Arabidopsis thaliana: one gene and its partners. The protein of the gene in region 3 interacts with the protein of the main gene of each other region in a pairwise test. Each region holds a gene or a part of one and is shown on either strand. Other genes may lie near its edges.

Evidence for each region.
Region 1: the proteins of AT1G09660 (region 3) and AT5G51110 interact in a two-hybrid assay, tested with the Arabidopsis thaliana proteins (one large-scale study listed by BioGRID).
Region 2: the proteins of AT1G09660 (region 3) and AT2G39100 interact in a two-hybrid assay, tested with the Arabidopsis thaliana proteins (one large-scale study listed by BioGRID).
Region 4: the proteins of AT1G09660 (region 3) and AT2G43370 interact in a two-hybrid assay, tested with the Arabidopsis thaliana proteins (one large-scale study listed by BioGRID).

The regions. Positions count from the first base shown.
Region 1 is NC_003076.8:20,775,043-20,782,351, reverse strand, and holds AT5G51110 (Transcriptional coactivator/pterin dehydratase), read left to right. Parts: upstream 1-2,863; 5' UTR 2,864-2,971; coding exon 2,972-3,346; intron 3,347-3,670; coding exon 3,671-3,866; intron 3,867-3,944; coding exon 3,945-4,036; 3' UTR 4,037-4,348; coding exon of another isoform or gene 4,349-4,720; 3' UTR 4,721-4,851; downstream 4,852-7,309. Other genes in the region: AT5G51130 (S-adenosyl-L-methionine-dependent methyltransferases superfamily protein), read right to left, coding at 24-138, 235-456; PABN1 (polyadenylate-binding protein 1), read right to left, coding at 1,111-1,156, 1,259-1,377, 1,462-1,653, 1,898-1,956, 2,033-2,155, 2,235-2,337, 2,437-2,592; AT5G51105 (ECA1 gametogenesis family protein (DUF1278)), read right to left, coding at 4,349-4,720; FSD2 (Fe superoxide dismutase 2), read left to right, coding at 6,717-6,786, 6,868-6,905, 7,108-7,185. UniProt on the Arabidopsis thaliana protein: Involved in tetrahydrobiopterin biosynthesis. Interacts with and acts downstream of the E3 ubiquitin-protein ligase SDIR1 in abscisic acid (ABA) and salt stress signaling.
Region 2 is NC_003071.7:16,313,635-16,321,193, reverse strand, and holds AT2G39100 (RING/U-box superfamily protein), read right to left. Parts: upstream 3,839-7,559; 5' UTR 3,733-3,838; coding exon 3,362-3,732; intron 3,282-3,361; coding exon 3,144-3,281; intron 3,037-3,143; coding exon 2,982-3,036; intron 2,843-2,981; coding exon 2,586-2,842; intron 2,395-2,585; coding exon 2,325-2,394; 3' UTR 2,307-2,324; intron 2,200-2,306; 3' UTR 1,807-2,199; downstream 1-1,806. Other genes in the region: AT2G39110 (Protein kinase superfamily protein), read right to left, coding at 1-150, 228-350, 430-693, 789-1,165, 1,406-1,424; APC7 (tetratricopeptide repeat (TPR)-containing protein), read left to right, coding at 3,961-4,029, 4,140-4,208, 4,300-4,350, 4,628-4,762, 4,858-4,920, 5,362-5,471, 5,596-5,680, 5,816-5,875 and 7 more.
Region 3 is NC_003070.9:3,125,282-3,133,723, reverse strand, and holds AT1G09660 (RNA-binding KH domain-containing protein), read left to right. Parts: upstream 1-2,629; 5' UTR 2,630-2,850; exon of another isoform or gene 2,851-2,924; 5' UTR 2,925-2,932; coding exon 2,933-3,063; intron 3,064-3,538; coding exon 3,539-3,624; intron 3,625-4,295; coding exon 4,296-4,420; intron 4,421-4,542; coding exon 4,543-4,680; intron 4,681-4,756; coding exon 4,757-4,873; intron 4,874-5,321; coding exon 5,322-5,465; coding exon of another isoform or gene 5,466-5,519; exon of another isoform or gene 5,520-5,536; coding exon 5,537-5,692; 3' UTR 5,693-5,962; downstream 5,963-8,442. Other genes in the region: AT1G09665 (Toll-Interleukin-Resistance (TIR) domain family protein), read right to left, coding at 50-86, 169-629; AT1G09650 (F-box and associated interaction domains-containing protein), read right to left, coding at 6,598-7,746.
Region 4 is NC_003071.7:18,009,751-18,017,162, reverse strand, and holds AT2G43370 (RNA-binding (RRM/RBD/RNP motifs) family protein), read right to left. Parts: upstream 3,896-7,412; 5' UTR 3,733-3,895; coding exon 3,585-3,732; intron 3,493-3,584; coding exon 3,395-3,492; intron 3,312-3,394; coding exon 3,260-3,311; intron 3,067-3,259; coding exon 2,996-3,066; intron 2,819-2,995; coding exon 2,728-2,818; intron 2,632-2,727; coding exon 2,556-2,631; intron 2,457-2,555; coding exon 2,378-2,456; intron 2,174-2,377; coding exon 1,787-2,173; 3' UTR 1,633-1,786; downstream 1-1,632. Other genes in the region: BIO2 (Radical SAM superfamily protein), read left to right, coding at 4,034-4,237, 4,560-4,739, 4,956-5,062, 5,341-5,546, 5,717-5,856, 5,946-6,245; GPX3 (glutathione peroxidase 3), read left to right, coding at 6,630-6,791, 7,163-7,239, 7,335-7,396.

The DNA of each region.
Region 1 (7,309 bases), on a different chromosome or scaffold from region 3:
TGATATTGATAAGAAGAAGATACCAATATGAATAGTCATGATGCCGCTGTTGCAGCCAATGTCAAGACAGTCTTTGCCTTCAAACCATTCCTTCTTCAACACTTTAAGCCGAGGATCCTCATCCGTGTCATTGCTTATCTAACACATTATGTTGCCAAACGAATCCAAAATCAGATACTAAACCAAAAGATGAGCAGACTATGAAGGAATTTGAAAATATACTACGAAACTCACTCGGTAGCCATAGTAGTTTCTGTAATTTCCGAAGGGATAAACTTCTTGATTCTTCTTCTTCTTGCTTTGATTACAATTTCCTTGTTGTCCTTGTTGTTGCTTCTGCTTCTGCTGTGTTGGGACTTTCTCTTCATTAGCAACTACTTTCTCAACACTCTTCTCATTCTCATTACTTCTGTTTCTCTTCTTCTTATTCTTCTTCTGATCGTTGTCCCGACCCATTTTTTTCTCACACGCGTTGATGAACAAAGCTCGCGAAGTTAGGGTTTCTTCTATGTTATCGCTATCAGCTAGATTCTTAGAATCGAAACAAAACGATTAAGTCTAAACAGAGAGATTCGACGAAGCTAGCTCCTAGAGAGGTTTTTCTTCGAGGTTAAGCGGCGCAGAGCGAGGAGGAAGAAGAAGAAGAAGAACCGAACCGCCTTTGAAAGTCCAAAAGGGTTTAACGAGTCTCATATTTAAGTAATCCTCTCTTTTTTAGTTAATACATTCTTTAAACCTATTTATGTAAATATACGAAAGTTTCCTTTTCTTTCACCGACGTGGCCAAATTAATCTTAGAGAATTAACTTTTGTTTTTTTTTGGTCAATATGCATCAAATCTAGAACAATGGAAGCTTGCGAGTTATTGTGAAATCGTGACTCGTGTTTGAAGATAATAAAAACAAAGGAACTCATCAAAATGTTGCACTTGTCATCAAATATTGTACAGAAAATCTAGAATATAATTCCCCTCTCTCTTCTGCCATACAATTCTTCAACTCATCTCTGTTAATCGAAACAACTGCAGCGTCCGATGAACCGTGTTGATGATGATAAGCTTTCCCGAAAACGGAGAAGCAGCTGCTACTTTTTTAACACCAATTTGCCTAATCAGTACGGTCTGTAGCGCATAGGCCGTCTGAACCTGGGAACTCTCCTGCACAAACCATCAACCATTGTCAATTTTATGAACAACCATGATGAATCAAACAAATGGACTTTAAAAGAGAGGATAGGCAGGTAAGGTTCTAGAACACACCCATAAGCATATGGAGGATAAAATGGAACTCCTGGCATGAATCCCCTCATCGGTCTAAAGGGACGCCCTCTTCCTCGAAATTGCCTCATTCCAGGTACATTAGTCCTCTTTGCAGATACCTGAAAATAGATTAAACAAAGTTTAGTAATGACAAATCGTAATATGGAAAATAATTAACTACATCGTATTGAACGAGTTTGCACCTTTATCTGACGACCATGTAGTTCTGACTCGTTCAAAATAAGCGAATTCTGAACAGCTTCTACTTCCACAAATTCGACATACGCAAAACCTTTAGGTTGACCAAACTTATCTGTCAGAATTGTAACCCTATTCACTGTCCCACATGATTGAAAATGCTGCTGGACTTCCTCTGGAGTACATGCATAGTCCACCTAATATACACAAAAAAACAAAGACACAGGATATCTAAAGAATCAGCTTCACAGATGGGAGATATGAAGGCTTTCTGAAATATGAAGGAAAGTTAGTTTAGCAATTACTAGAGATAAAGAAATAAACAACAAGCAGCCTCCAAATTTCATTGATACCAAAGCAATAAAACACACAAACTTTCTTTAAAAAAGATACAAACATATATGAGAAACATGTGAAAATTAATGGTGGAACAAGCCTCACATTGCCAACATATATTGAACGCGAATCCACTTCTTCCTTCTCAGCCGCACTAACACCACCTGAAGGGTCTTCATTGATATGCAACAACATAAAAGGTATTGACCCAATTAGCTAACTGACAAGACTCCACAATACTATTAATGATTTCCTTCTCATACTCAAACTCCAGTAAATTTCTAGACAGATTCATTGATTCACTAAAAGATTCCAATATGTAAACCCAAAGCAATATCATAATCAACAAGACAAGCTTTAAACCTAATCTATCAATTTAAAGGTTAATGTGAAGCTGCGCACAAAGATTCAAGATTTTACGTATCAGTTAATAAGTACAAACCTTGACTAGCACCCATATCTTTCTCAGCCTTGGCTTGCATTTCACGCAAAGCTCCAGCTTCTTCCTCAATCTCCTTAATTCGTTTCTTCATATCCTCCAAGTCCTATCAAACAATCAAAGCAAATAACAGACTAAATACAGTAAAAAATAAGAAGAGTCTCAATTGGATAAAAGTAAATTATAGATCGAAGAATCACAATACCCTAGAGCTAGAGCCAGGTTCAAGCTCCTCATCTCCGGCGGCGGCACCTTCTTCTCCGCCGTGTTCTTCGTACTCTTCCGTATCCATCTCACCTTCTTCCTCTTCTGGGATCTCTCCACCGTACACCTCATGCTCTTGCTCATCGTGCACCGGCATCTTTCTCTCTCTATATCTCTCACTCGGCGACTGTCGTTAAAGCGAGAAACAGAAGTCTCGGAATTTTAGGGCTTGAAATCGGGAAAGAAGGGAAGGTTTGTTTGTAATTAAAGATACCCAAAAAGGATACTTTCGGAATTATGAAATCTTAAGTAGATTCACCAAAAGTGGACACAAAAGTACAATCAAACCCAATGGGCTTCTCAGATTAAAACGTGACGTGTAAAGTCGGTCCCACGAAAGTTTATTGTGGTTCCCATTAGTCATTAGTGATTACGTGGCACCTCACCCATTTAACTCAGTCCAGTGGTCTGAAAATCGTTTCGCTCTCTAAAAACCAAAACTCTTATCTTCGGTACAGAGCAAATCACAGCTCCCGATGGCCGCCACGTCATCATCACCGCCGTGTAACATCTCCGCGTCCTCCCTCCTCCTCCGTCAACCTTCTCGCTCAATCCTTAAAGTGTTCGGTTTATTACCACCTGTAAGTAGGAATAACCGTAAACTCGGCCGGTTAACGGTGACCCGGTCTAATCTGGCGCAGGATTTTCTTGGTGACTTCGGAGCTCGTGACCCTTACCCGGAGGAGATAGCGAGTCAATTCGGAGATAAAGTGTTGGGATGCCAAAGCACTGAGCACAAGATTTTGATACCAAACGCATCTGTTTTGTCTCTCTCCCAGCTTCAGTGTTCCCCTGTTTCGTCTTCACAGCCTCCTTTGTCCGGCGATGATGCCAGAACTCTCCTCCACAAGGTACTTATACTATTTCTCTCTTAGTATAAAAATGTTCGAGTTTTGATTTTACAAGTTTGTTGGTTGATCAAAATATTGTGAAAATGTTATTGATTCTGCGTTTAACAGATTTCTAATCTATAAAGATAGAATTGTGACCCAAAAATATAGAAAAGCCAATGAAAATTTTAGTATCATGAGGGACATATTAGGAACAATGGTTACGAGATTAAAAAAAAATGAAATGATTAGTGTTGATAAGGCTCATGTTGGTGTTTTGGTTCACGGTTACCACTCTAATGATGTGGTACATCAATCTCAATGATTATTATGTAAACGTTTTAGGTTTTGGGATGGAGTATAGTGGATAATGAAGCGGGTGGTCTGAAAATAAGGTGTATGTGGAAAGTGAGGGATTTTGGGTGCGGTGTTGAACTCATAAACAGGATCCATAAGGTTGCTGAAGCTTCTGGTCATTACCCTTCTCTTCACTTGGAAAGTCCTACCCAAGTTCGAGCTGAACTATTTACCTCTTCTATCGGTATGTCAAATATTTGATGTTCGAGTTTGAGTTTTAATATATGGTTTCTTAAGACGGTTTGTTGGATGAATAATGCAGGAGGGTTGAGCATGAATGATTTCATAATGGCGGCTAAAATAGATGATATCAAGACTTCTGATCTTTCCCCTAGGAAAAGAGCTTGGGCGTGATCTTCTTTTCATTATTTTGGAACATTTTTGTTTGATAGTATGTAATGTATGTGATGTATTCTAAATTGTGTGTGATCGGTCTACATGTCGAGTTATATAGAAAGCATTGTCATAACCGCATAAGAGATATCACGCAACATGTCTTTGAGATTCATTCATCAATCAAAAGAAGAAAGAACATCAATCATATGGAGCACAATATAAGAAATGAGACATTATTATTAGATTAAGACATTATTATTATCATTTCTTCTTCTAGAACATTCTGGGACTAACAAAAAATTCGAAAAAACACAACTACATTTTTGCATTCTAATAGGCGGTGGTGGTTGGAGGACTAGCCATTTTGGAGCATTGGTGTTTCATCATAGGAGGGAAAAACGGGTTGGATGGAAGATTTGGTAAGCAGTTAGCTTCAGCGTCAAGGAAAGCTTTACAACAAGCAGGACCAACGCCTTCAAATTTGCCGGACATTACGGCTTGTTGAATCTCTTCAAAGCATCCCGGCAAATCCATCACTGTTGACCAACATTTGCTCAAGTCGGGACTTCCTGCCATACCGGGACTTGGTTTGAACGGATTTGGAAACGGGAACATGATTGGGGGAAACTGCGGTAGCTGAGCATTAACGGAGGCTGCGATGCATACAACTACTAGGAGAGAAACAACACTCTTGATCGACATGATGAATATTTGGGGGACTATGCAACAAGAGAAATAGATGACTTGAGTTTTGTTTGATGAGATAAAGTTATTGGCTATGAGATCCAATTTATACTGTAATTAGTTTGGCGAAACGTATTTTTAAAAGTTGCTTTCAAAATCAAATTTGTCGTTTTAATTTTGGAAGAAAATCAAAAATAGTCAAAACGTTTGATGCACATTGAATTTGATGCTGTCATATTTCTCATATGTAAAGAAATAAATCTTTCCTAACAATATGATAGGAAATAATACAAAGATGACAGAAGGGAAGCAGTAACAAATTTTAAGTCTCTTTCGTCTTTATTCATCTTGATATATATCATCTCCTAATTTTTTTTTTGAGATTTTATTTACATTCATAGCAAGAAAAAGAAAAAAATCTTTTCAATTTAGGAATTGTTTTTCTTCCAACTTTTTGGAATCCTCTATATAGTAAAAGATGTGGCAAGCCCATAATTGTTCTCATCATTTTTATTTTTCATTTATTGAATATAATATACTCATTGTCAAACACTATTAATTCCACTATCCTTATCCTTATCCTTATTATTTTTTAAACCAAACATATTTTAATATTAAATACACCATCCAAAAATAATATTTTCGGATTTCTAAATATTTAGCTTATAGAAAGATTTCTTATTTATCAAATAAATTAATTTAATCAAATTTAAATTTACTATTTCCCAAATTACTAAAAACTTAACTTTTAAAATTAAAACATTAAATTATATAGCCCATATTTTTATCCTATAAATTTCATGCAGTATACTATATAGTGTCTATCTATTCAACACAATCATAGTTTTTTCCTATAATTTGATTTAAAAAAAATCATTCTCCTCTATACATAAGAGAGTCTTTAGTGTTTAGGATATAATCCCACAATTTTTCTCAAGTATTTTTTTCTTTAATTCTACTATATATCATTATTACCAAACATTTTTAATTGCAAATACTATTTATCTTATTTTCTTAAAACTAATTTTTAAACACTCATAAAAGATTTTTAATATATAAATTTACCATTTTAATAAAAGTAAATAGTATAAAATTTACGGCAATAATTAGATAAAATTTGTTACCATTTAAATTTGAAGATATGTTTGACCCTATATGAATCTCACATATGTTCTCAAACATTTGGATTTTAGAATAAACTAGAAATGGTTTCATACGTTAAACAACTTTGTATTGGTTCTAGTTTCACTTATTTCCGTTGTCTCATCATATGCAATTGCAAGATTCAATACAAAGGTTACAGAAAGTGAAATCAACGTCATATGAACAAACAAAGATGTCAATGCATCATTTTGCTTTGAGTTCTTGAAATCATCCTCTCAAATTGCAACACTAGATGTCTGGTCTAGCCAAATTGAAATCATCATTTTGTTTTATATGGATTTTTGTTTAAAAACGAAATTAAAAATCGTAAAATTAAACCAAATAATTTATATTTTGCTTTCGATTTATGAATGAAATCAAACAACAGAAAATAGCAAGAAACAATTTTTTATTTTGATTTTCGATTTGACAAAAATTAAAACAATAAAAACTGAAGTCGTGTAAGATCTGACTCCTCCACCAAGATCTGACTCTAAGCACATTGTTTAAAAGCATCAAACCATATAATTTGTATTTAAACCACATATACAACATAATTAATCATATATATAAATCCACACTTTAATACCAAATTATAACTGAAATCATAAATATCATGTATTAATTTTTTTCATTCACTCAATGTCATTTAAACACACAATTATTATAATTTTAATCTTTTATTTTTGAACTACACTTATTTTTACAGGAACAAAAACAAATATAATTCAATTGAAATTAGTATTTTAACACTAACCAAAAAGGAAATAAATTTGACTATGAGATAAGAAGGCGGGCTTAGTTATATAATAGCAAGAAAGAATCTGTATATTTGTTGAATCAAAAATAATCAGTAACGCTTTGAGTGAAGATGATGAATGTTGCAGTGACAGCCACTCCCTCGTCTCTCTTGTACTCTCCTCTGCTTCTTCCTTCTCAAGGTCTCTCCTTTTTCTATCTTACTCTCTCGCTTACTATGAACACTTGGGGGGTTTTAAATGGGTTTAGTTGGTGAATTACAGGGCCAAACCGGCGAATGCAATGGAAAAGAAACGGAAAGGTTTGTTTTTGAAACTTCTCTTTTATCTCCTCCAAGTTTGAATTAGCTGATGAATTCTACAAGGAACTCTTTTTTGGGTTGTAACATGAACAATGAACCATGTAGGGAAAGTGTTTGATGAAATGCTTCAATGAAACTCTTACTTGTTTTGTTTTGAACTTGAATTCAAAAACACACTCTTTGGTGTGTTTTCATTTTGCAGAGACGGTTAGGGACAAAGGTGGCTGTTTCCGGTGTTATCACAGCTGGATTTGAGCTGAAGCCACCTCCATATCCTCTTGTATGTTTTCGTGAACTCGTTATCAATAGAGTTGGAAACGAGTAGATTAAAAAGACCCAGCTTTTAGGTTGAATTTTGGTTGATATATAACCTTATCATTGGATCAGATTTTGTTTATTTGGTT
Region 2 (7,559 bases), on a different chromosome or scaffold from region 3:
CTGCTCGTTTCTTGGGCGGTTACGGTCAAAAGGTCGTCTTCCTGTGATGAGTTCATATAAAAAGATTCCGTAGCTCCACACGTCGCTCTTAGCCGTGAGGTGTCCTGTTTGGATGTATTCCGGTGCTGCATAACCAATGGTCCCTACAACCTGTAGATTCATAGTTTGGTAAGACTTCAATTGTTTCAAACAATCAATGGAGACATAACAAGTAAGGCGTAGCGTACCGCGGTGGAAACGTGAGTGATTCCATCTGAAGGACCCATTCGAGCCAGTCCGAAATCCGAGAGTTTTGCATTCCAGTTCTCATCAAGAAGGATATTAGAGGATTTGAAATCCCTAAAGATGATCTGCATATAAGATGAGTATAGTTTCAAGAACATATGAAAAAGGTTTAAAGGCATTTGTGATCATGGATGGAGAAGATACCTGAAACTCCATGCCTTGATGAAGATAAGCGAGTCCTCTAGCAGTGTCTTGAGCAATCTTCAGTCTGGTGGACCAAGGAAGAGGAGTGACTATAAAACGATTGGATAAATGGTCTTGAACACTTCTGTTTTGTACGTATTCGTAAACAAGTAGCCGTTGGATCCCTCTCTCATCATCCTCAGCGCAATAACCGATCAGCTTCACCAGATTCGGATGCTCCACTACTCCCAATACATTTACCTCTGTCACCCATTCTTTATGCCCCTGTTAATGCATACGTAGTTGTTTTTATTGTTGGGTACTGAAGGAGGTTGTGTAAAACAGAAGCAAACTAAAGAGAGAGAAAAAGATTTGCTTGCCTGTAGACCTCTTCTACTAAGTTGTTTAACTGCAATATCAATCTTTTTACGAGAATCTTGAGGGTTCTGAATCACGCCACGAAAGACACCACCAAAGCCACCTTCACCGATCATCAAGGAGCGGCTGAAGTTCTTGGTAGCGGTTTTAAGGTCATCGAGGACAAATACTTTGAGATTATTACTGTGTGTCTCTGAGAGGACGTGCAAGGAAGAAGTAATGGAAGTAGCAGTACTTGTATCTGAATTAAACTCAGACCCTGATCCTCCTCTAGCCATCGTAGCTGAACCAAACTTTCTAGTCTTAGCTTCATCATCCTGAGTTTTGTCTTTGCTGAAGTAGAAACATTTCATTGCCTTAGATGAAACCAGCCTCTTCACTATCCAAACCAGGTCCACATTCCAAGTCAACACAAACAGAAACACGATCAGAGATGAATTAACAGAGATAATCACCAATCATTCAATCCATACCAGATATCAAGTTATCAACACAAAAATCATCACATTTCAACTAGATTCCCTGACATTTGGAAGAATGTAGAACAAAAATCGATATACAACACAAAAGTAGAAATGTGGTAAGAGTGTTGAGAATCAGAAAGGGAAAGAGAAGAAACCTGATGTAGAATTATTCATGAGGATGAATGGAATGCTGTGATGGGGGTCTTCATGATCATGATTGAGAGAGCTTTAAAGCAAAAGAAAATGGTAGAGAAAGAGATAAGAGGAGAAGAGAGAAGACGAGCTCACCATGATCGAATGGGGGAAGTCAAATAGGCAATGGCAGCTGGATTGCCGCTTACCAACCTATAGAAGAAGCCTTTTATAATATTTTATTTTGTGTTACACCCGCTTGCTTACTTATATCAATCAATACCTTAATAGAGAACGCGTTGTTTATTAAAAAAATTTCCCCGTGTATATTCACCATTTAATCTTTAAGGTACGGTTTAGAAGAGAAATTCAAATGAACTTTCCTCTTCTATGGAAGCTTCGTGTAATTTATCTAAAACTATGTATAGTTTTAATTTATTAAAAATTGATAGTCAAATTATAGAAAATATTTAATGTTGTTGAAATAGGTGGTACTCGAAACGTAAGAAAAAATGATGAGGTGAGGAAAAGCGTTGGAAAGAAACTTTGGGGGTGAGAATTTTTGGTATAGAAGAGACGTACATTATGGAAGTAGAGAGACTAAGTGTCAGCTATTTGAGAATCCACCTATAGCTATCTCAAAACTAACTCCACACCTAAACTTGCATCATCTCAACATCTTCCTCCTACCTACTCTTTAACTCTTGGTTTCTCTTACTTGGTCCAGTCTTTCCACTATTGAACTTCCAAGACACCAACAGTCGCGTTGTAAGTCTGTCTATTTACTTCATTTGACGAGAGCATAGTGCTCGGTTATCTGCAAGCGAATACAACATAATGACTTCAGAAAAAAAACCATCGAAGCAAAACAGGTTCCTACTTAGTGAAACCAAACCCACATAATACATATCCTAATTTCTTTACCTGTTTTTTTTACTGCTATTACTCCACCTCATTGTATTCAACCACTGCATCATAAGTCTCCATCGTGAGTATACTCTCCGCAAAACATCTGAAAAATGTTTTCTTTCTCATCAGAAATAGTATATGACCAAAAAACCTAAACCAAACAGATATCAGCTCTATCATCTGTTCAGACTTACAAGTCACTAGGTTTAGGTTGCCTATGTGTTTTCTGTACTACTATACTAAACCTGTAACTACTTGAAACTCTGAAAAAACCCTAGCGTATAAAAATCTTACCTTAGTTCATGCCAAAATATATCCACCTTATCAGACAAGAATTTTCGAAGAGAGGAGACTTCATCTTCCACCAACATCCCGGTCTGCCCGGTTTGTCGATTATTCTCTCTCTCAAGCCTTTTGATGAAAAGAGCTGACGCAAAATGAACAATAACTGAGGGATCAGGATCTCCAAGGACTGCCTGAAGCTCTCTTCTAATCCATGGCTCAATTCTTTCAGTTATCTTTGCTTTGGTGTAATCATTCACCGCCAAACTCTACAATAATCCAAGATGACACAACGAAGCAGGTATATATAAGGCTTCCAATGTGAACATATATCCAATAATGTAAGAGTGTAAACCCCAATACTACAAACATCAAACAGAGAAGAACACATTGTATAATGAAACTTACTAGTTCCAAGCGCCTTGAATGTAATCGAACAGCTCGTAATTGCTTAGTGTATATGCTGTATTTAGAGCCAACACTAGTTAGAAACAACGGCGAACTAATCTAACACTTCGAAAAAGGAGATTGCAAATGAAGCTATAGAGTTAGAATCAATAGTAAACCAACCTAGCTCGCCACTGAAGCTTTCGCTGGAAGATAACAGAATCAGGAACTGAACCTGGTCGTCCAAATGATCTCCGCCATGGCAATGGCCTTGATCTTGAGCTAGAGTTTTCCAAAACATCCCTCGACCTTTGAATTATCCTAATGAAATAATAACCAAGTGAATATAATAAAGAAGTGATTTTTAACTTCATAGAGAGGATCTTAGAGAGAGAGATAACCTCCGGCGATCGGAAGGATTATTCCGATGATAAGTTAAAGTCTCACGATCACGAAGAATTGGTAATTGCTCCTTATGGTATTTTCTAGAAGCAAAATCACTAACGATAAACCAGGAATCAAAACGAGTGTTACAAAGAGGACAATTCCTCTTGAAGCTGCTCCACTTCCGAATACAAGCAAGGCAGTATCCGTGCTTGCACACCGTGATCACGGCGGCGGATCTTCGCTCGGTTAGATTTTCGAGGCATATCGGACACGATTTCCCCTGTAAAGCAGGAAATATTGCTCTCCCTGCAAATTTCGCGATACTTTCCGGCGATCGAAGATGTCTCGAAGACGAAGGCGCCGTGGAGGACGGTAATGGAGGCATGACCGGAGATAGAGATTGTTCGGTGAAGTCGGGCTCTTGGAAAAGTCGGGTTTTAATGAACCGAGATGGATTTCAGATAGATAACCGGTTAATGTCGGTTTGGGTTGACTCGGTTCGAGATTTCTTGTTTCAAAATGAAGAGCGAGCGTGAAGGATCTTTTACTTCATCGCTGCTCCGAAGAAAAAACTTCACCATTGCCACTAACGACGAACTCTCTTGTCTCTGAAATGGAGGTTCCAAAGGAGCAGATCGCGACTTTAATAGAGCATGGGCTTTACGATTCTGCTGAAATGCTCGTAACTTCTCTAGCTTTTAGCTCATTTTGATTGTCTATCTCTTTTTTTCTAAATCCCTAGTTTTCATCAAGAGCTAATGAAATTCTCTCTATATATGCAACTAAATCCAGGGCTGCTTTCTCGTTTCTTCTCCTACTGTTAGTGCCGAAACTAGTCCTCAGCTCAAGGCGGAGAATTTGGTTAAGCTTCTTTCTCCGTCGATATTTTCTATTTTAGTAGCTGCTGAGTCCGTTAGATTGAAGTTAGATTCTTTCTGTGTTTTTTAATCAGATTCTACTGGGTGATGCTTTATTTCATCAGAGAGAACACCGGAGAGCTATTGTAAGTTCTCAAAAGTTTCATTCTTTATGTTTCTCTTTTGCTGTGAAGGAAATGTTACTCAGTTCTCGATAGTTTAGTTCTGCCTCAAATTTGAACTCTATAAATCATTCTCGGAACTTGAATTTGACTGGATTATGATAAAATTGTAAAGATTCTGATTATATGAATTTATGGAGTGAGCAGAGATAAGTTTTATATTTGTATTGCTTATTCTTTTCCTGTGGATTACTTTGAAGTCATCTCGAAATTCTGAATATGTATTCCTTCTTTTTGTCAGCATACGTACAAGCAAGCGTTGCATCATTACACAAGGATTCCGAAGCAAAGCTCCGGTATTTCGAGGAGTTCATTATCTTTATCTACCAGATCATCTGTGAATGCCTCCAGCATTTCTGCTATTAATGAGAACGAGGTAAATAACTGTGTTGCAGTTTCCAGAAAGTGATGTGGTTTGGTTTAATTTCATTGGAGTTCATGTGCATCTTCTTTTTCTAACTTTCCTTTTAGGTGAGATTCAAGATTGCTTCATCTCACTTTGCTCTTAATGAAACAAAAGCTGCGATTGCTGAGGTATGAGTGTCATCTGTTTGTCTGGTTTTCAAGATTTATTTAGTCTTCTGGATTTGTTGGTCTAGAAACTTTGGTATATAGAAAATAAAATATGTGTGTATGAGACGGTAAAAGAGCTGTCTAGGGATTTCTCTATTTCTAAGATTATAGATTGGTTTTGTATAGGATGACTTTTATGTCTTGCTATTGTATTTTATAACCAGAGTTAAGTAACTGTAATTTCAGTGAAACATTCTTGGGCCGTAACTAATGCATTGTTATAGTATTCCTGAATGTGAGTTGAATTTTGTTGCGTTGACCTGCTCCCATCAATGCAAATCCATATTACAAAACAAGTAAACTAATTGGATTCCTTCCAACACTGCATGTAGGTATTAGGGATGATAAAGCCATGGTCTGCTTAGCTATAATCTATTTTTGCACTTGTTATTTCTTTGCCAGATGGAATCTGTCAAGACCAGGAGCTTAGAGATGAATATACTGATGGCAAAGCTTCATCGAAATTCTGGATACAACCGTGGTGCTATTGCTTTTTATAAAGAGTGTTTAAGGTCTGTTTTTCGTTTTCTTTCCCAACATTTCCTAGCATAGAAACACTGTTATAATATCTCACTTTTTACGTTAAATACCAATTCAACACATAGTAAACATATATATAATCTTTAATCTCTGCAGGCAGTGTCCTTATGTACTTGAAGCCGTCATAGGTTTAGCTGAACTGGGAGTTAGTGCAAAGGATATCATATCATCGTTTACTCAGGTGTCCCTTTCTACGAGATTTCTTTCACCACTTCTTCAAATGTGTTTTGCACCTCTTTCTCTCTATTTTGCAATTACCTTTTCTGTGTGAAATCCATACAACTTTGTAATTTGTTGTGTCATTTGTTCATTTCAGACTTCAAATAGAAGTGCAAAGGTTTCACTCGATCAGATAGATCCTACCCGCTGGTTGCAAGTAAGCTTACTCTTTAACAGGATTTACAACGTTGAAAATTGTTTGAAAGTACACTCATTAATCATGCCGCCAAGCTGATTATTGTACGTGAGTTAGAATCTTATTTTATCAACTATTTTCCCCCGAATACGACTTCATATATAATGATTCTAAGAATTCTGTCTTCAAGCTGTTCATGTGTGGAAAGTGAATAAATCGTCTTAATAGTATTATTCCCTTTAACAAAGTAGTGCTTTGATGTTCTTGTGTTAGTAGAAGCTCGACTATTTAACCAGGAAACTAATACTCCACATAACTTTTCTTGGATGGATGTTTCATTGGTTTCATGTTGTAGCATACCTGGCAATAAAATCTATTTTCTTCTTTGTCTTTTTCGGTAATTTTTCTTTGTTTTCACAGCGTTATGTAGAGGCCCAGTGTTGTGTTGCTTCGCATGCTTACAAAGGTAGCTCTCTTTTCTTTTTGGGATGCCTATGCCTACAATGGATGAAATAAGGCATTTAGTTCTTTTTTTTTAACCTTGTAGATTTCATTTCTTGCATTTTATTTGTGGGAAATTCTGCAATCTGATGCTTGCTTTACTGGATATGGTGTAATATTTTTTTGTTACTCAGGGGCGCTGGAACTCTTTGCTGAACTCTTACAACGATTTCCAAATAATGTACACTTGTTGACTGAGACAGCAAAGGTTAGGGATGACATCGACTACGATGCAAACAGAATTTCACCTGAATTTTTCATTTTATCATGACTGACGCTGATTGACATTTATTTCATTTGTATAGGTTGAAGCCATTATTGGGAAAAATGATGAGGCCATAATGAGATTTGAGAAGGTAGTCACCACATGGATATTTTTTTCTCAATTCTCAACTTCTTTAATTCATGCATAATCATCTAAAAGCTTTTATAGGTTCGGTCAATTGATCCTTACACACTAACCAGTATGGATGAGTATGCGATGCTGCTTCAGATTAAGTGTGATTATTCCAGGCTAAACAAGCTCGTCCACGATTTATTAAGCGTTGATCATACCAGAGCAGAAGTATTTGTTGCTTTGTCTGTACTATGGGAAAGGAAAGATGCAAGGACGGCATTATCTTATGCTGAGAAGGTTAGCTTTTTTCTGACACTGAATTTTTGTGCCAAAATCTTTGTGTGATAGCTCATGACATACACTATGCAATCAGAGTATCAGGGTAGACGAGAGGCACATACCCGGCTACATAATGAAGGTAAGCTAGTTCAACGAGGAGTTTATTTATTTTTAGTAAGTTTGCATATATATATATATCCACTAATTTGTTAAGACGTCAGGGAAATCTACTTTTACAAGCAAAACGACCAGAAGCTGCAGCGATCGCCTTCAGGGCTGCCCAGAATTTGAGGTCCGATCTTCGTTCATATCAAGGTCTGGTTCACGAGGGAAAAAGATCTGATATACACTTCCACTGTTGTACTGTTTTGGTGGTATAAACCTTTAACAATCATGAAAAGGTTGGAGTGTGTAATTAACTTGCGCTATTGAGGTCATTTCAGGCTTAGTCCATTCTTATCTTGCATTTGGTAAAACCAAAGAAGCATTGTATACCGCCAGGGAAGCAATGAATGCAATGCCTCAATCCGCGAAGGCTCTGAAATTAGTTGGTGATGTTCATGCGTTTACATCAAGTGGCAGGGAAAA
Region 3 (8,442 bases):
AACGACTACAAAGAAATAAGCCAAGTCATCGTTTTCAACTCTTACATCTTTAGCCATTTATGTACATCTGGACCCATTTGTTTGTTCTGTTAACGACAACCAAAAGGGAAACCGACAACTGAAAAATGTCGCAATATTAGATTAGGGATGATGAGTAAGCTAAGGTACCTTTTGTCGCCTAACGTTAAGCCCACCTTGTCAGAAACAGACTCTAAAGCTTCCTTCCATTTCTTGATTTGTTCTCCACTCGAAGTCTTAGCCAACCTCCAGAAGTTGCGACCAAACTCAGCCTTTTGATATCTAACAGACTCTGCCTTCACTTTAAAGAAGATAGGAACCACTCGTAGCTTGCATTTATCGGCTCTTTTCTTGATCCTTGCAAGCTCGTCCAGGCACCAGCTTGACTCTGCGTATCTTTTGGAAAATATGGTGAGAGCCATCCTCGATTGCTTGATCCTTGCAAAGAGATGTTTGAGGTCTTTCCCTTTTTGTTCGTCTTTGTCTATGAAGAAGTTGATTCCATGTCTTTTAAAAGCGTCAACGAGGTGGCTCACAAAGCTGCAGCGTAGCTCCTCTCCCCGGAAATTGATGAACACTTGGATCTTCCTATTACTACTACTCCTTTTCATGTTGTTTAATTTCCTTTAGTTGTGAGCGTGAGCAATGAAGAGAAGTTGGTTAGACTTTGTTCCACTCTTATACAATTTTGTTTGGACAGAAGACAAGTTTTGTAATGTAATATGGAACAATGGTTACTAAGATGTTTAGCAAGAGCTTAATTTATAGTATATGATATTGGGATTTGGGAGGGTTTAGGTACATTGTTAATGTTAGGTTTATCGATATTACTGGAGGGAAGGCGTCGTTAGGAACTTTGTCATTAACTTTCTTGAGTTAACATGCGTAAATGCAGTGGCGGACCCAGAATTTGATTATTCCAAAAATTGGACAGAGGAGGAAGAAAAGTCACAATCCCAAACAGTTAATACAAGATCGTAGAAAAGCGTTTTTGGCGCACGTGCGCGGAGAGAGAAAGCAGAAGCAGACCTCACTTTTCTTTTTTTCTTGGTTTTTTCTTGTCTCTGGATCCTCATTGTTGTTCTCACCACCACCTACTAGCTACTACCCACATTTTTCCCCAATGTCGAACTTCTATCCGTTTTCTTCTTTGGTTTTAGGTCTTTCTTTTTGGTAGTTGTACTACAACATGTATACTTTTAATTTGCAGCAAACATGAAACTTCTCCTTTGTCAGCACTCAGCCTTACGGAACAACATGTACCCCTAAACAAAACTCTACATGACCTAGGGGATTTGAAACATCCCAAGAAATGGATTTTTTTTTTTTTTTTTTTTTTTGGGCTGTGATTGTTAATGAAAACCTTTTTATGTATACATTTGATAAAGTAAATACTACATATATTCTAGTAGAATAATACCATTTACCTAATATACTGAAATTTCTTGGGATGTTTCAAATCCCCTAGGTCATGTAGAATTTTGTTTAGGGTTACATGTTGTTCCGTAAGGCTGAGTGCTGACAAAGGAGAAGTTTCATGTTGGCTGCAAATTAAAAGTATACATGTGTAGAACAGCTAACAAACAGAAAGCATAGAAAGAAGGGAACCCTAGGATAAAGAATTAAAAAGGGGAACAAAGATTTATGCTGTTTCTTCTTTATTTCTCATTGGCAAAACGGCAGAATCTTCATTAAGTTGCGTTTTATTATTTTTTCCATTTCTTATAGTAGCCAACTTCCAACTACACCATTTAACCCGGCCGTTTTTTTTTGTTGCTAAGTAATAGGTAAATATCCTATTAATGAAAATTATGATTTACATGAACAATAGCTAAGATTTAGGATACAAACAAGGAAGACGATCAAGGATCTTGAAGATAGAAGTAGGCGCAAATGTGTTGTGAATTATGCAGCATCTTATTTCTTTGCTTCCAAGTTGTATATAAATCACGGCTTGAGTAACTAGCTTCCTTAGTGTATATGTGACTGCATCTATCATATACAGTATGTGTGTAAACTGCGTTTGGTGTAAAATGTAATTATAATTTATAGAAAATAAATTAAAGTAGTGGAACATGGAAATCACCGTTCAGATATTCTAACTGATTCACTATAGACGGAATTCTTGTTTTCGTCCATTGTTTTTACTTTTTAGAATTTTTAAGTAAAATAAATCATCCATTACATCACTGAGGTGACATCATCGCTCAGGGGACATCACTAACTACGTTCCCACTAAAAATATAGGCAAATGCAATCAAGTGAATGATGATGACCTTTCAAGAGTTCGTAGAGATAAATAAAATAATAAATATTTGGCATGTTGAGGATCAAATGAATTAGATGCATAAGAAAGGTACTAGGTAGACCAGGCCCGGCCCAATGTGTTTTGTTGTCTAAAGCAAAACAAAAAAAATTAAGCCCATTAAAGAATAGTTATATTGCCTCGGAAGGGCTCGAATCCATCATCTTCATTTTTTTAGTTTACACGGATTGGAAGTAGGCTACAATGTCCCTGAGGGAAGGTAGGCCCATTATTAGTGACCTGAAGCCCAATAATAATGAAAACGCAAAGAACCTTTTAAGAAGAAGATGACAGAATCTCTAGAGAATAAAAAACTAAACACAAAAATAGAAAATATCGAAAATGAGATGAGAGAGAGAGGAGGAGTCTCTCATCGTGAGTAGGGCTTTTGACTCCCTCCCTACTTTGCCTACTTCTTCTTCTTCCTCTGTGGCCACTCTACACAGTCCACACCTACTTCAAGACACCTTTCTCATCCTTGAGATCGGCGTCAGATCCTCCGCCGCTTCTCCTCTTCACTATCTCCGGTCACAACTTGTTTTTCTCTGTTTTTCTTTATCTCTACTTTATGCACAATCTGACTTTCTAAGTGGATTTACAGTGTTAAAGATGATGGAATCTGGCGCTGGTTTCGTGGCCATGGAAGAGAGGATCTCTCCTGGAAGTTTCTTCCAGTATCCTCTTTCTGGATTCCGTGCTTCTCCTAATCGATCCCCTTGTCCTCCCTCTGATCGTGAAAGGTTTCTATTTTCTCTCTTCTTTCTCAACCTTTTTGCTATTTGTGAATCTGTGTTAGCTTGATTGTTGTGGACCCGTTTCTTCTTCTGGACTTGTTGCTTTAGCACAACTTCAAGTGTGTCTCTTTGTGATTGGTGGGTATTGTTGCCTTTGATTGGATCAGTGTTTAAAAATGATTCTGTCAAGTTTGTATTTTCATGAACTGCTTACACAGATCCAAATTCTCGATCATACTCTCTCACCTCAACATGTCGCCTTTTTCACAATTAGCTCACTTATTATTGGATTCTATACAATGTACTCTTAAGGATTTTAACAAGATAGCTATATTTTATCAATGTTTTAGAAATGAACGTACTGATGTATTTTTAGAAGCTTAGTTTACATGTGACTGAGTGCTGATTCCAATGTCACCCACTCGATTCACACGCAACATCCACTGAAACTTAAGTTTTTTTTGTTCTTAACCTTGTGCAGGTACTTGACTGAATTATTGCAAGAGAGACAAAAGTTGGGTCCCTTTTTGCAAGTTATGCCAAATTGCTGCAGACTGCTTAATCATGGTGAGCTATCTTATTAAGCTATGTGATTTTGAATTTAGTATTTCCTTAGAGTGTGTGCACACGAACTTAAGAAATTTCCCACGTGAACAAAGCCTTAGTGCGCATCACCCTGGCTTTTTTCCAGTTAAAGGTTTACAGAAATTGGGTAAGGATAGTTGAGTAACAAAAATGTATCTACATGCAACTTTTTATTCTCTTTGTTATGGCCTTCTTAATATATATATAGCCAATCAAAGTCTATGTTACTTTTAGCATTTAGAAACAGTTTTTAATTGCAACTTATTGCTAAATGATCATCCTTGATGAGTTATGTTATGTGAAAATGAATTAAGTCTATGTGTTTGCAAATGATAATGATCGTTAAGCAAATGATCACCAACTAATTTATACTAGGAAGCCTATTTGTCCGTAAATATGCATATGGTGATTAGAAGCTTGTTTCCAGACTTGTTTACCTAGCTTTTAGTTGTCCATCATGCCCTTAAGGGATGTGTGAACCTTAAAAGACAAAGATGTGTTTGAAGTTTTCATCATTCTAACCTATTAGAACCCGAGCCTTTTGTTTCATTATTGGCATTAAAGATAAGAGACTGAAGATGCCCCTGATGTATAACTCTTACAGTTTCTTTTATACGTTTGCTTAACTGCCAACATTGCTGACGTCTGTGCAGAAATCAGGAGGGTCTCTAGTTTTCCTGATCTTGATAGATATGAGCATGGCAGTCCATTTAGATCGCTTGGTCAGCCGACAAATGGAAAGCTTGATTTAGAGGGATGGTCGATGATGCAAGCCGAGGTAAGCCACTGCTGATAGTTGTAGTCAATTAACTGATTCATGTTGAATTGTAATGGTGATACTAATAATTTTTATAATCAAGAGTGGGCTTTACCGATATTGATTGCTTTTGCTTTCTTCAGGAAAACTGTCACCTCCAGAGAGCTTCTCCATTTCGCGGTCCTTCCCCAGTGGGCTGGATTGGGATGCCGGGACTCCCTAACCCACCCATTGTGAAAAAAGTGATTAGACTTGATGTCCCAGTGGATAAATATCCAAGCGTATGTCTTAAATCTTTACCCAAATAGGTTATTATAATTGGATTGTTCTAGAGTTTAAATCCATTGAGCGTTGCAGTATAATTTTGTTGGGAGGATTCTTGGGCCACGTGGAAACTCCCTAAAAAGAGTTGAGCTAGCAACCCACTGCAGGGTGTTTATCAGAGGACGAGGATCTGTGAAGGATACTGTCAAGGTATGGCTCCTTGTTTATTAATTCTCTGAAGGATTCCATTTTGTCTCTGTTTTATTCTTACAGTTCAAAACTTCACTTTATGTCATGTTTTTACCTGTTAATCAGTTTTATAACCATGTTTTGAATACGCACAATTTTCTTCCGGCCTTTAGGAGCAATTTGTTTTCCTTTTGTGTATAAGCTTACGTCTTTTAGCATATCAAGCTTATTGTTGAAGTAATGATACATTTTTTACTGCATCAGCAGCTACTACTCTTGTTTACATTTGAAGATATGTAAATTTTGGCAGCCTGTATAAGAAATAAACTGTTAAAGTTTTAGGTTCTTACATCATCAGAAGTAAATAGAGAAAGTTTTGAAATTCATTTTTTTCTGACTCTTATATATTCTCTGACAATCTACCATGCGGTGTGAAAGCTTATCCATTTAGTTCTTTACTTCCCTGCAGGAGGAAAAATTAAAAGGTAAGCCAGGGTACGAGCATCTCTGCGAGCCACTACATGTACTGATCGAGGCCGAGCTTCCAGAAGACATAATAAACTCTCGATTGGAGCATGCAGTGCATTTCCTGGAATCACTCCTGAAGCCGATGGTACATTCTTATCACAAAAGTCCAAACATGTCTATTTTGTTCACATGGTTTTGATTCTTCTCTCTCTACAGGACGAGTCAATGGATCACTACAAGAGGGAACAGCTGAAGGAGTTAGCGGCTTTGAATGGTACACTAAGGGAGGAGAGTCCGAGTCCGAGCTTGAGCCCTTGTTTGAGCCCCAGCATGTCCCCTTTCAACAGCAAGCGTGCTAAGACAGAGATATGATCAAGAGAAACCACTAGTGCATGGGTCTTGTGGGCAGGATCATGAGTTTGCTAAGTTCTAACGTTTGGACTCTTGAATTAATTTATTTTGTCATTAACTTTATTCTTTATTTTTGTTGGTTAGCTGAGATGACCATTAACCAGTGGGTAATAAACTAATAATGGTGTTTATGAAATTGTAATCTCCTTCTCAATCATTGTAACCTTTATTTAAGTTTTAAACCCCAAACGTTTATTTCATTTTAAGTTTTGAAATTTCTCCATTTGTCTATCTACCATTCATTATCAGTTTGTTTTGAGATTTAAGGTTCAGATTCAAATGTCGGAAACTATTAGACAACAAAGAGATTCACCATTGACCAGTGTGTAATAAACTAATAATGGTGCTTATGAAAATGTAATCTCCTTCTCAATTATTTATTGATTATGGCTCTGATTCTGATGCCATGTAAAAGGAGATTATTTCAATTGAATTACAGAACAAAGTCATTGGAAGCTTCAGATAGTTGTTTGAGTTATTTGATTGGTGGTTTCGGAGAGATTCGTTACCTTGTTTCAATTTCTTTAACATTTCTTCAGAATTTGAATAGATACATAGATTTAAGACTTTGTTTTCGGGGAGTTTATAGCAACAAGATCCTAGTTTGGGCTATCGTTGAGAAACCTATAAGGTGCCTTAAAGATTCTAGAGCATATTGTGGTCACTGAAAGTATGCAAGGAAAAACGACATCATCCGACTGTGTGAGATAAATTAGAAGCATAACAAGCGCATAAAAAAGCACGACAAAAATTGTTGGTACATGTTGAAACAAGCCCTTCTTACATAAAACAAGAATCTGAAACATAATCATAGGCAGCTTTAAGAGTTGCAAACTTGGACAAACAAACGGATGGTGAAAGAAGCTTTATGAAATAGATATTAAACTCGGGAAATAACAGACAGGATGACCGATGGAGTCAGCCTCGAAAGCAACATCATATGATTTGGTTTCGTCATCATGTACCACCATTGTTCGTTTTCGTACACGACAATAAAACAACAACTTTTTCTTCTTCTTCTTCTTCCCATCCAAAAGTGCTAGTGGCAAGACGGCGCATACTTGAGTAGGACCAAACCAACGAGAAGTTATATCCAGATTAATGGAACACATTTTGTGCCATGTCTTGTTACCTGAATTGAATGACCATATCACTTGGTTGGGCAGCTTCATCTCGGAAACGCACAAGCGGTTGTCGAGGTTGCACATGACTATATCGAATCCATCTACATTGGCAAAGGGAGCTTTAGAGACAACTTGAAAGGTTTCGGTGTGAAGATCGAACGAAAGAATTTTGGTTTCCTCGCACTCGGTGAACCAATGAAGCGACCCATCTACGCAGACAGGTGCGGGGCAACCAACAATCCTATAAGGAGCAGCTGGTGAAACATACCTCCAAGCGTTGGTGCTAAAGTCGAAAACCTCGCATGTAGTAGCGTTTTCTAGGCCAATTTCTATAGAGTTGTATAACCAAACGGGCTTGTATGTGCCTGTGAGTTTGTCTTTACCGAATCCAAGCCTAGAGACTCTGTATCCAAGATCGTAGAAACCGTCGCCTATGGCAATAAGGAGTTGTTGTAATTGGCAGAGAGGAAGAGGGTGATACCATCTAGTGGCGGGATTGAACACAAAACCGGATTTGAATTTATCGAAGAGACAAACGAGACCGTCACAGCTATCCTGGGAAACAGAGTATTCTTTGTCCTCCTCCTCCTCCTCCTCCCAAGGAGTAGGGATCTTGACAGATGATGATGAACCCAACACCAATGTAGTAAGAGCTTCTATTTCCGAATTAATATCAGCACAACGGGAGACCATGAGAACATCTGGATTACCTGATTGCTGACGCTGTGTGAACTGTCTTCGCTGGAAGAATGGAGATTCAATAGTTGATTTCCATTGTTTCGATACAGCCTTGAATCTCAGCAGAGGATCCGCATCAAGTCTCTCTAGGATGCACTCTACGACCTCGTGGGGCAGCGATTCCATCATCAAGCAACGTTGCTTTTTCGACATTCTTGTAATTGCAGACAAGTCATTGTTGATGAAGAGATTTAAGAGGCTTATTTATAGATAAAACAGGAAAACAAAAATCTTCTATAGAAAAGACAAAACTCAACACTTTCCGTTTCTCAAAACTCAACACTTCCTTTTCATCAGATCAAGGAAAAAGGATCTTCCTCTCACGCGCGCGGCACAGATCTCCTAATCCTATTATCTACTTAACATTTTTTTTTTCTAAATTGTAAATATTTCATAGTTAATGAAAAATAGTTTAGGTTACAAACATAGAATTTGAAACATATGCATATGAATCCATGGTAAAAAGATTAAAAACATGGAAACATAAACCGCTTGATGAGTATGGAAACATAAACATAGAGGATCTTCTACTGTTGCCGGAGCATGATAAAGCAAAGTATCCGCTTGATGAGAAAGCTGAGAAGAAGAAAGGAGCCAAGAACCGTACCAACCCTTCTTGCAATTGACCGTTTTTGACGAAAATGAACTCGAACAGGTATGTAGATGAATATATATCTTCCCAGTTTCAATTTCTTTTGTATTTTTGTTGGATTTATTCGGTGGCCGTTCCTCTGTAATCCTTAGTTCTCTCTTGGTTTAGGCTAGATTGTTTGATTCATATTTTTGACATGAATGTTAATCCCTCCTTAATTATCAACATCTGTGATTTGGTATACACTAGGGAGTTTC
Region 4 (7,412 bases), on a different chromosome or scaffold from region 3:
AGTAGACGGGAATGTTCAATATGTTTTGATGTAAATACTAAAATAAATATGTTTAAAAAGGCTGTATAAAATGAATGTGATTTGAATAATTTCGTAAGAACATCAAAGCCCTTCGTAGACGGAAGCCTGTGCCTAATTATGTGGCAATTTGATAAAGAATGTTGGTCTATGAAAATTGGCTAACAAAAAAATATACGTAGATATACAAATATAAAGTTCGTAAAATGTGTAGTTTTTTTGTTATGAAATTTTTAAAAACAATATGAATTCTGAGAATAATGAATGATGTTTAATCTGTGATAATTGAATTTTGAGAGATTTTTTTGTTTTAATTGAATAACACAAAACTTTTACAAACTTTTAAAAATTATGATTGAATAACAACATATTTTACATGACACTTTTAAGTCACAAAAACTCTTTTAAAATCATAAACCAATAACATCCTCTAAGTTTAGAATTTTTAAAGGATTTTTAAAAGCATCCTTTTTTTAGTACAAAAAAATAAACATACCATTTATAATAGTTTTAAAAGAAAAAATGGGTACGAGTGCATGAATCATGCTTTTCTCCTCCACCCATTTGGACTAGGCATGAACCCAATCCTATGAATATGATTTTGGTGTGTGTTAATTTAATAGATATATTACAAAATTTAATTATAATTACATGAATAATGATAATGAATGTGGGGCATCATTGCATGAATAAGCCCTAACATCGGTGATATCGACCATCAACGCTGTAGAAAGTGGTACAAGGCTGGAGTCCGTTTTGTGATCTGTTCACTAATTATCCGTCCAGAAGACCTTGTAACTGTAATAGTCAACATGGCGTTTTTTGCAGCTGAGAATGCACTCATATGACTCAAAGATTCTATCTGTCAAATCCTGACATGTAAATGTCCTGCATCAGGCGTTGCCCCTCCTCATAAAGAATTTGCAGAGGATATATGCGAAAAGAATATGTCCTGCAATCTCTTTCTTGTGATCACAAATACCTGCAGCAAGAACAAAAAATTGAGGCCGGAAATTAAGAGATACACCATATTTTCTGATCAGCTAGGAAGATGGGATATCCCTGTTTCGGATAATTTGACTTTTATTCCACTTGCATGCAACGAGTACGAGAATGACATTGTCTCTAGTCAATCTGAGGCGACTCTCTATCCTCCTAATAGACAATTCATGAGAGGTACAAATACAATCAAATCAAAGTGAGTTTGAATAAACAAAACAAGAATCTGAAACCAAGTTTCAATTCTGTCTGTTGATACAACAACTATCTAGTATCTACACAGACAAACTAAATCTCTATTTCAACATCAAATGTGAGTTTTTATATTCGAACAAATTCAATACAAAACAAAATATAAGATAATAATAGTTCATTAGTTCTAAAAAAAGAAATATAAGATAAACTACAGAAACAAATCCAACTGTAATGTCATAGTTCATAAAAATAATAATATTTGATGAACTATTTTATCCATTTAGATAAATTACAAATTGCATCATCCCAAATTTTTTTATATCTTAACAATCAAATCTATACGGCCATAATTTAAGATATAAAGACAATTCACTCATGTTAATTGCAAAACAAATATCTTGTTTGTAACTAAAAAAAAAAGACAATTTCTGTTTTGCTATATTTGATTAACATACACTACACTTTTTTTTTCTTTGGTTCAAAAGGCACTCTTAAAAGTCTCTAACACCAAATATTATTAAAAAAAAATCTGTAACACCAAATATTATTGTTATTTTTTTTACAATATGATTACTTAGTCGGAAGAATGATGATCTTGACTATAGGACCTCCTATGATGATGGGAAGGCAAGTGTTTATGACGTTTGCGAGATCGGTCTTCTTCAGAACGTTTTGATCTTTTGCTGCCAGAAACTTCACCCTTGTTGTCACCATATCGATCTTCCATACCTCGTGCTCTCTCTTTTCTATCAGAACGGGACTCTTCCCTGGAACACTCCTCTCTGTCTTTGCTGCGTCTTCTATGAGAACTGTGTGTGTGTGCGCTCGACCTGTGACTGTGATATGACCTAAGGCTGCTTCGCTCTTTAAACTCTTCTTCCCGTTCTACAGAACTCTTTTCCCGATAATATTCTTCCTCTCTATCCGACACACTTCCTTTTCTCCTTGGAGGTGATGGGATCTGCATCCAACAAGTAAGTTGTGGTACCAAGATTTTAGTTTACAAACTATCAGCTTTCCACTAGACACATTGAACAACCCATTTAATATATTATTTCTAGCAGAAGAACATTAACAAATGACCCAATAAGATAGCACCAGAGACAGAACAGGGGTAAAGTTCAAATGACTATAGAGTGGTGGTGAAGTTCAAGACATGGTAGACCTGTGTGCGCGACATATATCTTCCCTCAGGCGGAAGCTGAATACCGAGCTTTTTCAAATCTTCATGAGGGATTGGTCGTCTGATATTAACAAATAGAAAGAATGCCCATTTCATGACCACTATGTTTAGCTGGTGTTATCTCTGGACATGCTAAAGGAAGAGTAAAGCAAAACCATACAAGGGAGCACGGAATGGTCTATCTCGTCCTCCAAAGCGAAGTTGTCCGGATTCTTTCCTACCACCAAGGCCACCTCCTGTTAAGAGAGAAATAGATTTCATCTGTAAGGGATGAAAATATAACGCCTATGACATTTCATTACAGACAAAAATAAAGGTAAAGAATGGCAAACCTAGTCTTCTTGGTATCCATCCAGGCATCAATTGCTGTCTATTATAATCAACAATAATCTCTCGCCCATCTATTAGTGAATGATGAGCATCCTGCTAAAGAAACACCAAAAAAATTCTCACTCTGATAAACAAACTCCACTAGTTTCCAGTAATTACACGGAGATGTTAATGAAACAATCACATTGCGGTGCCTTAGTAAGTGGTTCAGACAGCTTTCAACAACAAAAACAAGAGGTAAAAAGAAAATGCAATTTAGTATCACAGCACCTCATAAGCACGAAGCATCTCCTTTTCAGTCTCATACTCCACAAAACCATATCCTCGTGAAGCTCCCGTCACTAAAAAAAGGTAACAAGAAGAGGAGACTCAATACTACACAATGTGGAACTTAGAGGAAATATGTAATCACAGTTCTGCTTAGACAAATATCTTGGTAGAAAGTAACAAACCATCAGAAATAGAAAGATGATAAATTTCCTAAAGATAAAGCAAAGTGTTGATGTCATAAGTAGAGCAATTGCAAAATCTTACCAATGTGTCTTACCAAGCGCAAGTTCTTAATCCTGCCATACTTACTCATCACCTACGAAGAAGAAACTTTTATAATCATATTCAAAACATAGTCTACACGAAAATCAAAAACTAAGTGAAATTTCAATCATTAACCTCTCGAAGTGTATCCTCCGTAGTGTGATGAGAGAGACGACCCACGAAGAGAGTACAGTAAGGATCTCCAACAGCCTTCGAATCACCAGAAGGATCATCTTTCAAAACAACCCAAATCAATGTATTTGAATTCAGAAACCAAACGATAAAAGTGAAAAGAGGAGCAGAGAGAACGAGAGAGTATACATACATAAGCCAGCGTTATAACAGAGAAGAGCTCGACGGACGCCGTTATCATGTGGAGCAACATCAGTTCCGTCGATACTTCCGGCTTGAATCGGATGATACGACGTCGCGTAGAACACTTTGTTCACGACGTTGTTTCCTCCGCCGCTCATTTCTTCTCCCCCGACTCTCTCTCTCTCACGGCGGCTCCGGCTGTTTAAGGAAATAAAGAATAACGTCGTCGTTTGAATTGATTACTATTAAAAAGCCCAACATATAAATTGGGCTTATTACAGCCCAGTTAAAGATATATGATATTCTCGTAGGTCCCACACGAAGGCGGAAACTCCAACGGTGGCTGCTTTGGGTTAGGTGAATCACTCACTGAAGAGTGAAAAGCTCTAGCACAAACCAAACACCAAATCTCATTTCTTCTTCTTCTTCTTTTTCCACATTTTCTGATTAGCAGATCAAATGATGCTTGTTCGATCTGTATTTCGATCTCAGTTGCGACCCTCTGTCTCGGGTGGTCTGCAATCTGCTTCTTGCTATTCTTCATTATCTGCTGCTTCAGCTGAAGCTGAGAGGACTATCAGAGAAGGTCCCAGAAACGATTGGAGTAGAGATGAAATCAAGTCTGTTTATGATTCTCCTCTTCTTGACCTCCTCTTCCATGGAGTAATTTACCCTTCTTCTTCTCTCTCTCTCTCTCTCTCTCTCTCTCTCACTTACTCTTCTCTTTGTTGTTCTAGCTACTCTAAATCACAAATTTGAAGTAGAAAGCTTTGGGTTTCTGTTAAATTATTGGTGGAAAGTATCGATTTTTAGTTTAACCCAGAACATGTTTGTTCTCTTTGAAACATTTGTCTTAATTTCCCGGATTTTAGTGTCTTTGTAATGTCTATTGAGCTAGGTATTATTCATTTGGTTGCTCATCTGATCTCGTTATCAGTTGTCTTTTACTTGAATAACGATGGTGTGTGGACTCTTTGGGTTTCAGGCTCAGGTTCATAGACATGTTCATAACTTCAGGGAGGTACAACAATGTACCCTCCTCTCCATAAAGACTGGTGGCTGTAGTGAAGACTGTTCATATTGTCCTCAGTCTTCGAGATATAGCACTGGAGTTAAGGCACAAAGACTCATGTCTAAGGACGCTGTCATTGATGCTGCTAAGAAGGTTTGCACTTTTCTTGTGAATGTTTATTTTTGCTGAATGTAGAATCCTTAGCAGAATGTATCAAGAAGAAGGGGACATGCATTACTATGTACCAAAACGTTGTTTTTATCAATCCGAGCTCTATCTCTATCCAAAAGACTCTAATTGTTTAATGAAGCATTTTGACGATGTAATGAGCTCTTCTGATTTGAATTAACAAATTTGATGTGTTGTTAGGCAAAAGAAGCTGGGAGCACACGTTTTTGCATGGGTGCTGCTTGGCGAGATACAATTGGACGGAAAACCAACTTCAGCCAGATTCTTGAATACATCAAAGAAATAAGGTACCTTACTATTATGCTTTTTAAGTTGAACTTTGAATTTCCTTGTTTATACTACATTATATGATCCCTTTTTCAGCTGCTTCTGAATCTAAGCTAACTTAAAAGATAACCCACCGAACCGATCATTAATGGTTCTAGAATGAACATTTTTGCATGTCAAACTAAAGTGAAAATTTCAAAGTGTACTTGATGTATCCGTGAGCAGAATGAATATGATGTTGATGATGGTGTCTGGCTGAATGTGTTTACTAACTTTCTGGGCTCTCACTTTAAAACAGAGGCATGGGGATGGAAGTTTGCTGCACCTTAGGCATGATTGAGAAACAACAAGCACTAGAGCTAAAGAAGGCTGGCCTCACTGCTTATAACCACAATCTTGATACTTCAAGAGAGTACTACCCAAACGTCATCACTACTAGAAGTTATGACGATCGCCTTGAAACTCTTAGCCATGTTCGTGATGCTGGAATCAACGTTTGTTCAGGTAACTTTGATATGAAAATAGTATTCTTGTATGCCTCAATTCTATAGAACTAAAGGATTGAAACCTGTCTTCAGCTTGGTCATTAGACTCACAGTTTTGTAATATTCGTTGATTTTGATAAATCCATAGATACGACATGTTCTCAAGTGTTTTCTTTTACCGATAAACAGGAGGAATCATAGGGCTTGGTGAGGCAGAGGAAGACAGAATAGGTTTATTACACACGCTGGCAACACTTCCTTCTCACCCTGAGAGTGTTCCCATTAATGCTCTACTTGCAGTGAAAGGCACTCCTCTTGAAGACCAGAAGGTATATCTCCACAATCTAAAATCACAAATTGCAAGTCATAGCAGCTACTTAGTAGGAAATGGCTTTGAGAACCGTTTGTGTTTTTGCAGCCAGTTGAGATATGGGAGATGATCAGGATGATTGGAACCGCACGTATTGTAATGCCAAAAGCGATGGTGAGACTGTCTGCTGGTAGAGTCCGGTTCTCAATGTCCGAACAAGCTCTCTGTTTCCTTGCTGGTGCAAACTCTATCTTCACCGGAGAGAAGCTTTTAACCACACCAAACAATGATTTTGACGCTGACCAGCTCATGTTCAAGACATTAGGCCTCATTCCTAAACCGCCAAGTTTCTCTGAAGATGATTCTGAATCAGAAAACTGCGAGAAAGTTGCTTCCGCTTCTCACTAATATCATTATCCACTTTTTTTTTTTGTTTGGAGTCGGGACACTATAGAGCAGTCCCTTTTACTATGTAGCATGGTTTGACGATTTTGTGATATCATTTTTCGTTAATCGTTATTCGAAGATGTCTAGATTTCTCATCTGAAAGTAAACTTATTATTCTAGAGTGTCATGAAAATTGAAGAGAAAAGTTGCAATTAAATCTCTCAAGGCTGAGATGGGCTTTAAATTAGGCGTAAACTTATCAACTAGATTTTGGCCCATGTTAAGCCCATTAAAGCTTCAAACACTATCCAAGTCAACAAGCTTGTTCTGTTCTGTTCTGACTTCTGAGATCGTCTTGTTCACCAAAGAGAAGAAGACTAACTGTGTTTTTTTTTTCTTTCCTCGATGCCTAGATCAAGCAGATGGGTCAATCAGCGAGCTACCTCTAAGATTAAAAAATTTATACTCTTTTTGGGTGTAGCCTTTGTCTTCTACCTCTACAGATACCCTTCTTCGCCATCGACGGTGGAACAATCATCCACTTCCATCTACAACATTTCCGTTAAGGTATAATCAGCTTAAACTAGGAACTTTAGAAGCCAATTTTTCACACTCTAGGTTGATCCGCGTCTATATTTAGTCCTGATTCTGAAGAATCATTCTAATTGCTGATGTTTATTTATGAAAATTTTATGTTTTAATGCGAATTTAGCTAAGATAATGAATCTAGACGAGTGCCTTTATTTTAAGGACTAGTTACTAATGCAACTGTTTAGTGTTAGATGGGGAAATGACTTTGTTTTGTGTGTCTGTGTGTGTTTTAAGTGAATCTTTCAATGACTATATGCCCCTTAAGTTCATCTTTATAGTAACGAGTTCTACTAGTTTATTTATCATAACTCATAACTCCGTATCAATTTCTCAAATTGAAAATGTAGGATATTGAAGGGAAAGATGTGAGTTTGAGCAAGTTTACCGGGAAAGTGCTTCTTATAGTCAATGTAGCCTCTAAGTGGTATGTTACTAAGTACTTAATTGTTCTTACTTATTGCATATAATGTCACATTACATTGGCGTTATATATAAAATCTTGTTGTGATGAATGAGCAGTGGTCTAACACATGGAAACTACAAAGAAATGAACATTCTGTATGCCAAGTACAAAACTCAGGGTGTGTCTCTTTATCT